Linked DNA regions of Pelodiscus sinensis. The protein of the gene in region 3 purifies or fractionates together with the protein of the main gene of each other region. This does not show direct contact. Links are inferred from orthologs where the notes say so. Each region holds a gene or a part of one and is shown on either strand. Other genes may lie near its edges. The genes, in order: MACROH2A1, GTF2I and HDAC2.

Region 1 (4,806 bases), on a different chromosome or scaffold from region 3:
AGCAGCAAGTACTGCTGTGGTCATTAGTCTGCATGAGAAGCAGCAGGACGTGGCACAGGGCTCTACCCACAGTGTAGGTGGCAGGCAGGAAGAGAAGCAGCTGGAGAGGGGGTTGGTCTCTGCTGCTGCACATTCTGTGGGCAGAGGAGCTGTGGGGGCAGGAGAGGAGAAAAAAGAGGGGGGCCCTTTGGGTTTGCAGTGTGGGTAGGGGAGTTGCAGGGGAAGAGGGCACAGGGCTATTCTGTCAATGTGAAGGACTGAACATAGAGTGGGAGGCGGAGGGGGGCTCTGTGCACGGGGGAGGAGGAGGAGAGAGAAGTGGGGGCTCTGCAAGCTAGGCAGGGAGCCAGGGTCTCTGTGCACTAGCGAAGGGAGGGATTCGGGTAGGGGACTCTGGGCACTAGGGGAGAGAGGGGCAGAAGGGTTTTTTGCACTATAGGAAGAAGGAATGGTGCACTAGGGGAAGGAGGGACAGCTTTTTTGCACTAGTGAAAGAGGGAGCTGTGCACTAGGGGAGGGACAGAGGGATTTTTTTGCACTAGGGGAAGGAGAAGCTGTGCACCAGGGAAGGGAGGAGCACAGGGGTTTTTTTGCACTAGAAGAAGGAGAAGCTGGGGGCCAGGGAGTCTGTGCACTATGGGAAGAAGGAGCTGTGCACTAGGGGAAGGAGGGGCAGAGGAGGTTTTCCATCAGTGGAAGGAGGAGCTGTGCACTTAGGGGAAGGAGGGGCAGAGGGGGTTTTCCATTACTGGAAGGAGGAGCTGTGCACTAGGGGAGGGAGGGGCAGAGGGGGTTTTCCATTAGTGGAAGGAGGAGCTGTGCACTGGGGAGGGAGGGGCAGAGGGGGTTTTGCACTAGGGAAGGGGAGGGGAGTGAAGGGCAGAGGGGGTTTTCCATTAGTGGAAGGAGGAGTTGTGCACTAGGGGAGGGAGGGGCAGAGGGGGTTTTCCATTAGTGGAAGGAGGAGCTGTGCACTAGGGGAGGGAGGGGCAGAGGGGGTTTTGCACTGGGGGGAAGGGCAGAGGGGGTTTCCATTAGTGGAAGGAGGAGCTGTGCACTTGGGAGGGAGGGGCAGAGGGGATTTTGCACTAGGGGACGGAGGGGCAGAGGGGGTTTTGCACTAGGGGAGGGGAAGGGCAGAGGGGGTTTCCATTAGTGGAAGGAGGAGCTGTGCACTGGGGACGGAGGGGCAGAGGGGGTTTTGCACTAGGGGAGGGGAAGGGCAGAGGGGGTTTCCATTGTGGAAGGAGGAGCTGTGCACTGGGGAGGGGAAGGGCAGAAGGGGTTTCCATTAGTGGAAGGAGGAGCTGTGCACTAGGGGAGGGAGGGGCAGAGGGGGTTTTGCACTAGGGGGGAAGGGCAGAGGGGGTTTCCATTAGTGGAGGGAGGAGCTGTGCACTGGGGAGGGAGGGGCAGAGGGGGTTTTGCACTAGGGGAGGGGAAGGGCAGAGGGGGTTTCCATTAGTGGAAGGAGGAGCTGTGCACTAGGGGAGGGAGGGGCAGAGGGGGTTTCCATTAGTGGAAGGAGGAGCTGTGCACTGGGGACGGAGGGGCAGAGGGGGTTTTGCACTAGGGGAGGGAGGGGCCGAAGGTTTTTTTGCACTAGGGGAATGAGAAGCTGGGGGCGGGGGACTCTGTGCACTAGGGGAGGGAGGGAGGGGCTGGGTAGCGGCAGAGGGCTCCGCGCGCTGGCGATGAACCCGACCAGGCGGCGCGCGACGGTGGGAGGGGGAGGGTGGGGCAAGCTCCGCTCCCAGCACGCGGCGGCAGCACCAGGCGGGGCTGGCCCAGGAGGGGAGGGGAGGGGATGTGACGAGGCGCTCGCGGTGCATTGTGGGACCTCACCCAGCCGCTCAGGGGCGGACTTGTTCCAGTTCACACGGCGGCCGAGCCCGGGGAGCGGACGGTCGGGGCGACGGGAGACATTTTGCCGCTGCCGGTAGGTCGGCGCCGGGCGCGGCTCTCGCCGGCTGTCCCGGGGGCGGGGGGGGCTGGCTCCCGTCCCCGTATCGCTCTGGGGAGGGGCTCTGGAGCACCGGGCGGGTCTGCCCAGCGGGCAGCTCCTGGGCGCTGCGAGCCAGGGACGCACCGGGCGCCTCGCCAGCGGGGTCTGGGCAGAAACGAGCTCGCTGGCCCCTTCCTGACGGGAAATGGAGGGATCCTGGGGACCCCCCCCCCCGGGTCCTCCGAGTGGTTTGTCTCCCGGGACTCCGCTCCCCTCTCAGCATGAGGGGCAGTGGGGTCCCCTTGCCGCCCAGGAGCAGGGCGCTGAGGCTGGACGGAGCCCACTTAGTACCAGCAGTCGCAGCATGTTGCACAGAGATGTAAATGGAGGAGTCTGTGTTGAAACCAGCTTTGCCTCCCTCCCCTCCCCGCTTCCTCTTCTCTCCCACCGGGTCATTGGACAGGAGAGGATAATGTGTAGCGACTGCAAAAAGGAATGGCCGGAGCACAGCGGGAGGACATTTTTGGTCCACTCTGCCATTGTCGCCTCGTGCTGAAGTGCAAAGTTGTGTGTGATTGCACAAGGGGGAAGGACTTACGCCTAGGAAGAACTAACTGACATTTTCTGAAAACAGAGCAGCCTCGCAGTGGAAGAAGTAAATATTGGGCAAAGGAATGGCTGCCACACACATTATTTTGGGGCTGTCATTTTTAAAGCCTGTGCGGTTCTTTCCGACAAACACATCACGCTCTAGGCAGCGTGTGGGTGTTTCTCGCAGGAGCTGCACCCTAGCTGCAGGTATGGCATGCTGCAGGTGAATACAGGTTTCTCTCAGTATGAGGACCAAACATGGATTTGCTGGAAAACTGAAGGGTGTGTATGTAAAGAAGAAAGTAGTAGGAACAAGTACACACAAGTTCTTTGTAGCTAATCTCTTGGTTTTTTTGTTTACTGTGAAGTCTTTAAAAGTTACTTGTAGAAGGTCCCCATTTATACCTGTGGCAGACATGAGGGGCCAGATTTCATTTAATCAAACTAATGTAAAATGTGTCTATTTATATTGATATTACATTGACTTGTTGAATTATGGCTTATGATTTCATATTTTGACCATTAGAATGAGCATAATATTTTTCTAAGATTACACTATGACTGTCACAAAGCAACAGGTATGTAAGTAACTTTATAGCTGAGGCACCTGCCTAAGTGTTTGGTAGAAATAGATGAACCAAATAGCAAGTTAGTCTTTAATTAAAGAATGAACCCCTGGGTTCTGAGGCATAGAATGGAAATAAAAGGCATAACACAACAATTACAGTTTCTCTGATAATCCCTGTTTTGTTTTTCTAGATGCATTTGGTTATTGGGAGAATTTATACTGAGCATCCAATTTACCTAGATTATTATTGTTTTGTTTTTTATTGTTTAAACAGTTGAAGGAATTACCTTTAAATATTTTAGATCCAAATTTTAATTCCAAGGCATTTTGTTCTTATGTGATGACATGGCAAAAATGGTGTAAAGAAGTGAAACCTTTCAGGCTACTTGAACACCTACATGAAAACCTATATAAATATATGTATATTTTGTGTGTGTGTGTGTGTGTATATATATATATAGAGAGAGAGAGTGTGTATATATGAATATGTATATATATTCCATTGAATTGAATGCAAGTTATTCATACCAGGCCAAATTGTGTTCCACCTTTGCAGTGATGTAAACTGGGAGAATTTAACACTAACACTGAAAGGTACACTCAGGTGTTCCTGATTTTAGCTCAATGTTTAGCAAAAGTATAACTGCTGCAAACAAAAGAAAACTTGTCTTGGTGCTGCAGAGTTTCTACTGAATAACAAGGAGTTCCTTAAAAAGAGCCTTTCTCTGCATGACAAATGGAATAGTGAAAAAACTTTAAAAACGACCGAATGGTCCTGCAGCACCTTAGAGACTAACAAAAAATGTAGCATCATGAGCTTTTGTGGGCACAGCCCTCTTCTTTAGATGGAATAGTAACATTCCAGAACAGTAGTTTGGATCCAAATTTCCCCTTCCTTTCAAAATAAGGAAAAGGTGATATATATTTTGCACTATGATCTAAAGGCCCCAATCAGCCCATTATGGTAGGTAAGTACATAACAAAAAGACATCTCCCCTGCTCTGCATGCTTACAATGTAAATATATGACAAGTAACAAAAGTAGGAGGAAAGGAGAAGGCCTCAGAATTTTAAGAGCACTGTGGAGAAGAGGGGACCCGGCCCAAACATCTGCTCAGCATTATGCTTGAAAGCACTCACAGCGCTTCCCAGATATCCAGGTTGGAGGAGAGGAGCATAACTACTGCACCTCCTGTGAAGAGGGGTCATCCCTCTTTCCTGAATGTTGCTCAGTTAAATATGAGGGAGGGATGGTCCATGGCTATAGTGCCTTCTCCCTTGCCAGCCCACATTGGAAAGACTGACATTATATATGGGCTGACATTGTTTTTACAGTCAAAGGAGTTAAGTGTGAGGATGTCATTGTGCCTGGCATCCACTTAGCCTGGTCCTTTTACCCTCTTTCCTATTTGTTCACCTGCACAAGGACCAGGCAGCATTGTTGTCTATTGTTAAACTTATTTTACATATGGATTGTGGCTGGAAAACACCCACTTCGACTGTTTGTTTGCATTTCTGTCAGCTTACAAAATACTGGTTGTGGAATTTCTGAAACATTCTTTCATGGAAATGCATATGTAACCCACACACCTAGTGTGGTTACTGAGTACTGCAAGTGGCACCTAGACCACTGCAATAGTTAAGATCAAGAGACCTCTACAGCATGGGCTGGGAGCTGGCTTCCTGTAGGTTCCTGTAGTCAG
Region 2 (4,806 bases), on a different chromosome or scaffold from region 3:
TGATCAAGAGGGGAAAGAGATTAAAACATTTAAAGAAAAATGTAAAGCACATACATAAACCAAAGGTTGGTTCTCAATCTTTTTCACCTACAAATACAATACTATCATTTTTTCCTGCAGGCTACCCTGTTGGTGTCTTTTTGCACCATTCCAGGCAACAACGAAGAATAAAAGAAACAAAATACGAAATTATGCACAGTAACTGTGCTAGTTATGACTGATGATATTTACATTAATACATATAATTTCATAGGTGAAAAAACTTTTAAGTGTATCAGCTTGAACTGCAGCTCTTCATTCAGATTACATGAAAGAAAAGCAAGTTTACTCTAAATATTGTGCAGATAAAGATACACCAGTGTTTCTTCTGGCAAAGCCCCCTAATGGAAATCCAGTGTATAAAAACAACCTCCCCACAAGACATAAGCTGTGCCAGTATAAATTGCATCTGCATGGAGGGTGGGGGGTTGCCAGCATAGCTATGCTATTTAGGGGTATTTTCTTCCCACATGCCTAACCAACATAGCTATGCCAGCAAAACTTTCTAGAGCAAACCTGGCTCTCTAGTGTGTGGGACAGACAGCTCAAGAAGACAGAGAGAGGAACAAAGACTGAAAAGAGCAAAAGAGACACAGCCTGGTCAAGCTGGCAAGAAGCAGCTTGGGATGCAAGCAAAGAAACTACCTCCTGTTATTTTTGCTTCACTCTGTGTTTGAGGAAATAATACTTTTACAAAGCATCAAAGGTGCCTGACACTTTCATCAGTTCCTCCTATTGGTGGAAACTCCCCACATCCCTAAAACCTGGATTAGCCACTCAGATCAAAGGCTAATAATATTCAAACCCAATGACTGCAGTTATTTCACAGGCAGAAAGGAGACAAAGCTTTTGGTTAAACAAAAAAAAAAATTTGTTACAAGAGTCCTTATCTTAGAAAAAACATCTCTGACACAGGCAGGGAAGGGTAAGAACTACATGTTTTCCTTGTAACCCTTCTCAAAAGAGAATGCCCCAGGATGTGCTGAGCCTCAGTTTGTGTCTCATTCATCCTCAATACACAAGAGAAAAGAGGTGCAAGTCAAGGAATTTGAAAATAAAGCATTCATGCTAAGCAGAGTGGTCTAAACTCCTTGTTTCCCATTTTGCACTTCAAGCATGAAGCCAACCCTCTAAGCTTCTCCTTCTGGAACCCACCAGACTCCCAGAGACGAGTTAACTAAGAAGGGTCAATTAGAATACAATCCCTATGGTCCCCTCCCAAGAAGCAGATACTTGCCCTTCCCTACTTCTCTTCCACCCACATTCCTCACCAGGATCTGGCATATGCCATACAATGAGAAGCTGTGGCACTCCAGTGCAAGGACCACACAGCCACCACCAATGCACAACCTCGGAACAGCTTCCTTCCAATGGCCATGATCAAAGATGGAGAGTGTTGCGCTCCACCAGCAAAGTAACCATGACTGGCGCTGGAAGAGGTGTGAAAGCTCCCCCAGCAGAAGCGGAAATGAGATGGCATTCAGTAGCAACTGGCAGGCAAGAGATTCACATAATCTTAGGGCTGGAAGAGACCTCAGGAGGTCATCAAGTCCAGCCCCAAGCCCAAGGCAGGACCAATCCCAAGAGGGAGACCGAGACATCCCCAAGAGGTGGCCAATAAGGGGGAAAGGGAATTGGCGGGGTATAGCACTTCTCAAGGAATGTCGACTGAAGAGGGGCAAAGCTGGCAGGAGAGGAAATGAATCTCTCACAGTCACACAGGAGTAGCAGCCAAGGAAGGGGGGGAAGGGGGATTCGAGTTCTTCCTCTACCATGGGGAATGGCAACCAAGGCGGGCATATGCGTTCCCCCGCCCCATTCACTCTCTTACACACACACACACACACACACACGACTGAGGCGGGGCATGTGAGTTTTCCCCCCATCACACTCACACTCACATTCACTCTCACTCTCACACACTAGTGACTAAGGTGGGGCATGTGAGTTTCCCCCCATCACACTCACATTCACACTCACTCACACTCACTAGTGACTAAGGCGGGGCATGTGAGTTTTTCCCCCATCACACTCACATTCACACTCACTCTCTCACTCACTAGTGACTAAGGCGGGGCATGTGAGTTTTTCCCCCATCACACTCACATTCACACTCACTCTCTCACTCACTAGTGACTAAGGCGGGGCATGTGAGTTTTTCCCCCATCACACTCACATTCACACTCACTCTCTCACTCACTAGTGACTGAGGCGGGGCAAGTGAGTTTTCCCCCCATCACACTCACATTCACACTCACTCACACTCACTAGTGACTAAGGCGGGGCATGTGAGTTATTCCCCCATCACACTCACATTCACACTCACTCTCTCACTCACTAGTGACTAAGGCGGGGCATGTGAGTTTTTCCCCCATCACACTCACATTCACACTCACTCTCTCACTCACTAGTGACTGAGGCGGGGCAAGTGAGTTTTCCCCCCATCACACTCACTCACACTCACTAGTGACTAAGGCGGGGCATGTGAGTTATTCCCCCCCATCAACTCACATTCACACTTACTCACTAGCGACTGAGGCGGGGCATGCGAGTTCCCCCCCCCCACGGGCGCGCGGAATAGTGACCAGAAGGGGGGTGAGCCCCCCCCCGCGGGAATAGCGACGGGGACACCCCGGGCCCGGCCTAGCCCCTTCGGCCCGGGCTCTCACTCACTGGCTGGCCGCCGCCGCGTCAGGGCAGCCCGGGTCCTGGTGAGAGTCGGCGAGGAGACGCCGCCGCCTCGGGGCAAGGGGAGGCCGCGCTAATCCCAGCTCACAGCAGGCGCTTCCCAGCAGGGCCTGTCCCCTCGGCGACTCGTCCGGCGGGGGCTCGCTGACCGCGTCCGCTGGGGCGCCGGCCGGGCCTGGTCCCCTCACACAGTCGTTCACCCTGAACCCAGGACCGCTGCGAAGGGGGGGGGGGGACCGAGAGGGGAGTTTTTTGTTCGAGGAAAGCCGCTTTGCGCAGGCGCGCGGGCCGCAGCGCCTGCCGGGAGTTGCAGTTCGGCGGACCCCTCCCGGCAAGCGCTGGGCGGCGGGAAGCCGGCCGGCCGGCGGACTACAACTCCCAGCCTGCCCCGGGCGAAGGCGACCCGCTGCCGCGGCGTGCGGAGGGAGCAGGGGGAAAGGAGCGAGAGAGGGGGGCGACGCTGGCCTCTCAGGCGGGCGAGGCGGACATGGCCGCGCGGCGCGGCGCGTGCTGGGGCCGCCAGCGCGGCGCCGCGCGGCCGCCGTCGTCCTCGCTGTGGGGCGGGGATGCCCGGACCGTTAAACGGTCGCCTGGGCAGCCCTGAGGGGGAAGCAGCCGGGCTGGGCCTCAGAGCAGGCCCTGCCTCCCCCTCCATTGCCTCGGGCTGGACAGTGCTCGCCTGCCGGGGGGAAGCAGCCCAGCCGCGTTACACCCACAGCGGGGACAGGCCGCTGGCCCGGGAGCCCTCTGCTCCCCTGCGGCCCCGGGCCAAGATGGCAGCTGCTGGACGGCCCCCGCCACACGCAAGAGGAAACCGCCCCGCCGGGCCCTGCTCTCCGCTTGAGCCCGGGCTGGGCCTGCCCACTGTATCCTGGCTTGGGCAAAGGGGGGCTCGTGTAAACAAAGACCAGCTGCCATAAGGCTGCCCTTGCTCTCATAGACGCTAAGGTCAGAAGGGATCATTATGATCATCTAGTCTGCCCCCCTGCACAGTGCAGGCCACAGAATCTCACCCACCCCTCCTAGAATAATCCCCTCACCTATATCTCAGATATTGAAGCCTTCAAATACTTCGAAGGCCCCAAGATGCAGAGAATCCTCCAGCTGTGATCTGTGCCCCATGCTACAGAGGAAGGCGAAAAACCTCCAGGGCCTCTGCCAATCTACCCTGGAGGAAAATTCCTTCCCGACCCCAAATATGGCGATCTGCTAAACCCTGAGCATGTGGGCAAGACTCACCAGCCAGACACCCAGAAATTCTCTATAGTAACTCCTACCATCCCTCCATTGACGTATTTCCCACTGAAAATGAATGGTCAATTAGTTACCAAGATCATGTTATCTCATCAATCCATCCCCTAATCATAGAACTGGAAAGAGACCCCAGGAGGGCATCAAGTCCAGCCCCCTGCTCTAGGCAGGACCAATCGCATCTAAATCAACCCGGCCAGGGCTTTACTCAGCTGAACGACGACCCCCTCCCCTTGCCAAAAATACGGGAAATGCCCACGCCTGCATTGTTTACTACCTGATCCTGAGGTTGCCGTGAATATGAATCTTTGCATCACTGACACTTGCACATTGTGACATTTGTGGGGGAATTTAACCACTGTATGGACCCAAAGTAGATGTGTACAGAAGAGAACCAACAAGAGCAGGAGAAAAACTGTATTGGAGTCCAAAACTCAGGGTGCCCCCAAAAGATCTTTTACAGGGGAAAGGGTTACATGGGGGAGGTCTAGATTGGATATTAGGAAAAATTATTTCATTAGGGCTGTGTCTAGACTGGCCAGTTTTTCCAGAAAATCAGCCGCTTTTCCAGGAAAAACTTGCCAGCTGTCTACACTGGCTGCTTGAATTTCTGCAAAAGCACTGACTTCCTACTGTAAGAAATCAGTGCTTTTTGCAGAAATACTATGCTGCTCCCATTCGGGCAAAAGTCCCTTTTGCGCAAAACTTTTGCTCAAAAGGGCCAGTGTAGACAGCTGAGATTTGTTTTCCTCAAAAAAGCCTCGATCGCGAAAATGGCCAGCGGGGCGTTTTTGCAGAAAAGCACATATAGATTGGCCATGGACACTT
Region 3 (4,806 bases):
CACTCCTTCCCCACACCACCTAGGACAGGGGGTTAGCAATGTACAGCATGTGTGCCGTAAATGGTGCACAAGCTGATTTTGAGTGGCAAATGAAGAGCTCAGCTTCGCTCCTCTCCCACGCAGCAGGGAGCCAGTGCTGCCGCTGGAGCCCTCCCCCATTCCCTGGCAGCAGGTTAGGTTGAACTGTGCCCAGTGGCGGTGGGAGGAGGCAGCGCTGGGAGTAAGCCGGCCTGGGACTGCAACAGTGGCACCTCTGGGGCCAGCAAGGGACTGTGTGGCTGCAGCAGCGGTTCCTCCAGCGCCCTGGGTCAGCCCAGGAACACATGGCTGCAGCAGTGGCCCCTCCGCTGCTTGGGGCAGGCCCGGGACCGCTGGTGATCAGGCCGCCATGCAGGACAGCTGGGAAGTCACCACACAGTTTTGGCCCCAGATTCAGCCCTGGTAAAGGACTACAGCTGGGTTAAGGCCTTGTGGTTGCTGCTTCTGGGGCAGGAGCTAGGGCGGCAGTGTGGCATGGGAGAGCCAGGGAGCTGCTGTGGTGGAGGATCAGGATGTCATTCTTCTGCTATCATCACTAGAGGAGTGGCACTGGAGACAGAGGCTTGTGTGCTGCTTAAAGTGTCAAACTACAAGCCCAAGATCAGAGAACTCAGCAAGGGAAAGCAAAGCCAAGGATAACACTAAATGGCAAGATCTGCATTTTTATTTATTGGCAACGACTGTGCTAGGCTGCATACTAGTCCTAGTCACTAGATTGAAGATTTGCATTAGCAGATATCAGAAATGCTGGTTAATTGAGGTTTCAGGTTACCTAAGTGCCAGATAATAGGGCTTTAACTATACTACTTTTAGATCACACTGGCTGCGTCTACACTGGTACGATCTTGTGCATAAGCAGCCGCTCTTGCGCAAAAACTTGTTGCCTGTCTACACTGGCTGCATGTTGTTGCGCAAGTAAACTGATGTACTAATGTATGAAATCAGGGCTTTTTGCATCAGAACTCTGACGCTCCTGCTCAGGAATAAACCCTTTTGCGCAACTGTTCTTGCGCAAGAGGCCAATGGAGACAGGCAACATGAATTTCTTGCACAAGAAAGCCCTATGGTTAAAATGGCCATCAGAGATTTCTTGCGCAAGAGAGCGTCTACGCTGGCAAGGATGCTCTTGCGCAAAAGCACATCTCTTGTGCAGAAGCACATGACAATGTAGACGCTCTCTTGCACAACTACTTTAACGCAAGAACTCTTGTGCTAAAGAGTTTTTGCGCAAGATCACGCCAGTGTAGACGTAGCCTTAAGGCTGTAAGCATTTTTCCCTTTACATTCAGTAGTAAGAACATTTACAAACCTGTGTGGGTACAGCACAGCATAGAAATTAGAAGAAATGCTGAGTGAACTGTAAGTGGATTAGGAACTTTCCTCACAAGTATCAGAATTAGTTCTTAAAATTTCTCTGATGAATACTGCTAATTTCTAAATTTTAACCTATTACACTTAAGAAATCTAAAATAAACATTGACTTTGACATCTTATACAATACTGGTTTCAGGTTTAAAAAAGTCTTTTGAAACATTCTAACTCAGGTGAATACTATAAATATTGATGATCATATTAGATAATGGGAAAGATGCTCTCTTAGATCCAGAGAATAGCTATATAATTAGAAGTCTGAACAATAATAGAGGAAAATACTGAGTTTCCAACTGACCAAAGAACAGCCACTTTCATGGATGTCTGAGATAGTAGGACTGATTTAATTATCAGCTCATCACCCTGCCAACACAGAAGCATAGACCCAAGCAATGGCGCTTATTATTATTTTGCTACTACTAAATGCCAGTGTTGAACTCTAGTGAAATGGTACCCATATTTATCAAATGTACTTTGCTCTAATACACTGCCCAACCACGTAACTACATTTTTAGTGACAGACTGGCAAATATAACTTAAAATAGCAATGTAATCTTCCCTTCAGCAAGACTGTCTACTCTTCTTCCAGAGAAAAGTCAGACACCAGTTTCAGTAAAATTTTCCTTAACAGGGCCTCCTTTTGCCCTTATGCTGAACAAAGAACCAGAGTGAAGGACAAAGAGAAGGGGGCGGCAACCACATCACTCTGCCTAACTTGCCAGCATGTTAGAAAACCCTCACCAGGCCCCAACAAAACTGCCGTTTTTTCTGACTACACAAGGTGAGGTAATATCTTTTACTGGATCAACTTCTATTGAGGAGAGAAAGCTTTCTCCCAGAGCTCTTCTTCAGGTCTGGAATTTCTGACCAACAGAGCTACCATAGTAGCAGCACTTCTGGCATCATCATGGGCCGATGATACTGCTCTCCTTATCCCAAACTGTGACAAGGCAATGAAATAGGTACTGCAAAGCAGCCTCATCCCCTCTTTCTTCACTGCAGTCAATATCAAAATTCCCGATCTATGCCACCCATTCTCAATAGGTAGTTCCGAGGCATCTTTCTTTATGTAGAAATTTAGCTCCAAACGAGTGAGCTGAGCAATACCTTTAGCCTAGCAAGCAAAGGGGACAGACGGGTTTCCACTTCAGGGCGTGCTGCCAACACCTGAAACTCAGTGCAACCCAAATCCCAAGCACCGCTTAGCTATGGATGACTGGTTAAGCCACAGGACCTAGTGCGCTGCTGTGATGAGCCGAGGGGCATCCGGAGCCAAGAGGTGAGCGCGCACAGCAACCCGAGCGTCTGCCCGGCCGGGGGAGGCTGCCAGGACCTAGGGGCAGCCGCGGAGATTCAGGACCCACCAGTCGCCCGCTTCTCCTCAAGCGACAGGCAGGCCCCCAGCGGGAGCGCTCCCCCGCCCCGGCAGCTACGCACGAGCCCGGGCGCAGCCCCTGGCGAACCCCTCAGCCCAGCGGCCTCAGGCGCGTCGCTCGGAACCGGGGCTGCGATCGGCCGCCGCCGCCCCGACACTGGAGCGAAGCGCCGCGCCGAGGTGCGGGGAGCGGGGGGGGGGGAGGGGCACGACGGAGAAAGCCCCGTGGGGGGGGGGGGCGGGAGGGAATCGCAGGGAACCAGGGCCCCGCCGCTCACCGTCATAGTAATAACAGACTTTCTTCTTGCCGCCGCCCTGACTGTACGCCATGGGGCCGCCGGGAGGCTGAGGCCGAGCCGGGCGGGAGGGAGGGAGGAGGGAGCCGAGCGAGCGTGAACTCGCGACGCCGGGGGCAGGAGCAACGCACCGACCCGACCATCAACAGCGGGGAACGGGGACGCGCTCACTTTGCAGCCGACCCGGGGGGGGGGGGAAAGGGCCGGGTAGCGCCGCGACTCCCGCCACCAGCTCGGCTGGGCCCGCCCGACACCTCCCCCCCGGCGCTGAATGGGGAGCCGCGCGGACCGACCGTCGGCCGGCCCGAGCGGGAGGCAGCGGCGGGAGGTGCGTCCCTGACAAATCAAATAGGGATGGGGCCTCTCCCCCTGTCGCAGTGTTACACAGTGGTACAGCCCGCCAGACTGCCTGCGCGAGGTAGCGGGCGACGCGCGCGTTCTCTCCCCCTCCCCACAATGGGGACGGTGTCTGCTCATGCGCAAAGCTCACTCCCCTCCCCTCCACCATCGGTCTGAATCGCGTCACGTGCTTGGGAGGAGGCGGGGCGGGGCTGCGCATCACTCCAGGCTCCGCTGTCTGACCCGGCACCCCAGAGGGGCGGCACGAGCGCACCCGCAGCTGCCACCCTGCCCCCGGGTGCGAGGCGGGGCCGGCGTGAAGCGGCCACTCAGACAAGCTCGTTGCAAACAGGCCGCGACTGGTCGCAAATCCCCCATCTTGTCTCCCCATTCTGGGGCGCCATTTCCGATTTAGGGATGGGGGAGGAGGGCTTTAACCAGCATTGCACCCCAGAGGCTACTTATGCACTTGGAAATTCCCGAGTTTTTTTTTCAAGTGGTGTCTCAGAAATCAGCTGACAGGCACAGCGGTCCTAAGTCTTGTATAAAGAAAAATATCACAAATACCCATTAGAGCCCCATTTTAAGGTTATTCCTACGTTTAGAACATGCAGCAGCAAGATATTTCCAACCCCAAATCTTGAGGTGTCAGTTTTGGAGCCTTAATACAAGTTTGATACCATCTTTAGTAGAGAGAAATAAAATCTGCTTAGCCTTGTATTTTTTAAAAAAAGTCTTATGCATGGGCAGCAGGTAATTTAGGCAAGGGAAGGCATTGCCTTCTCAAAACTGCCTACACTGCCCAGCCACCTAGAAGGGGCTGGGGCCATGGCAGCCCAGCAGCCAGGGAAAGCTGGGACTGTACAGCTGCCAGTCCAGTGGCCAGGAAGGCTAGGGCAATGCTGCATGGCTGGCACCCTGCTCTTCGGTGACTGGGGAAGGCTGGATCCGTGACACTCAGATGCCACTGACCTCGGGTGGCGATAGAGGAGGGGAGGAGAAAAGGTTATGAAGGGACATGATCTTGGGAAGGGGTGTGGCTTTGGGTGGAAGGGGCAGAGCCTTTGCTGTCTATCCCAGCTGGGCCTTTCCCCCACCACCCATGGTTTTATGGTCCAAATTGTGAAGAGGTGAATGAGAGAATTAATTCTTTCCAGGAATGTTTAAAAGTAAATAAATTACTGAAAAACAATACCCCAGATACGAACTAAAGCAAGGGATAATTTCATGATGTCATCTGGGCGGGGAAAAATCAACAAAAATAGAATTGCCAGATTTCTACTCAATCAATACAGTCATTTAAACAAAAAGCAATAACCCCAAAGTAGTCCAGTCTATTTATTTAAACTATTTCTTTATTACAGGTTGGACCTCCCTCATCCAGCA

Evidence for each region.
Region 1: the proteins of HDAC2 (region 3) and MACROH2A1 purify together in Homo sapiens (affinity purification with western blotting; 3 studies listed by BioGRID, with this or other methods). This does not show direct contact. The link is inferred for Pelodiscus sinensis from reciprocal best matches to the Homo sapiens genes HDAC2 and MACROH2A1.
Region 2: the proteins of HDAC2 (region 3) and GTF2I purify together in Homo sapiens (affinity purification with western blotting; 4 studies listed by BioGRID, with this or other methods). This does not show direct contact. The link is inferred for Pelodiscus sinensis from reciprocal best matches to the Homo sapiens genes HDAC2 and GTF2I.

Annotation. Positions count from the first base shown.
Region 1 is NC_134727.1:29,457,175-29,461,980, reverse strand, and holds the start of MACROH2A1 (core histone macro-H2A.1), read left to right. Parts: upstream 1-1,784; 5' UTR 1,785-1,939; intron 1,940-4,806. UniProt on the Homo sapiens protein: Variant histone H2A which replaces conventional H2A in a subset of nucleosomes where it represses transcription. Nucleosomes wrap and compact DNA into chromatin, limiting DNA accessibility to the cellular machineries which require DNA as a template.
Region 2 is NC_134731.1:24,127,419-24,132,224, forward strand, and holds the start of GTF2I (general transcription factor II-I), read right to left. Parts: upstream 3,000-4,806; 5' UTR 2,713-2,999; intron 1-2,712. UniProt on the Homo sapiens protein: Interacts with the basal transcription machinery by coordinating the formation of a multiprotein complex at the C-FOS promoter, and linking specific signal responsive activator complexes.
Region 3 is NC_134713.1:81,521,802-81,526,607, forward strand, and holds the start of HDAC2 (histone deacetylase 2), read right to left. Parts: upstream 3,274-4,806; 5' UTR 3,116-3,273; coding exon 3,064-3,115; intron 1-3,063. UniProt on the Homo sapiens protein: Histone deacetylase that catalyzes the deacetylation of lysine residues on the N-terminal part of the core histones (H2A, H2B, H3 and H4).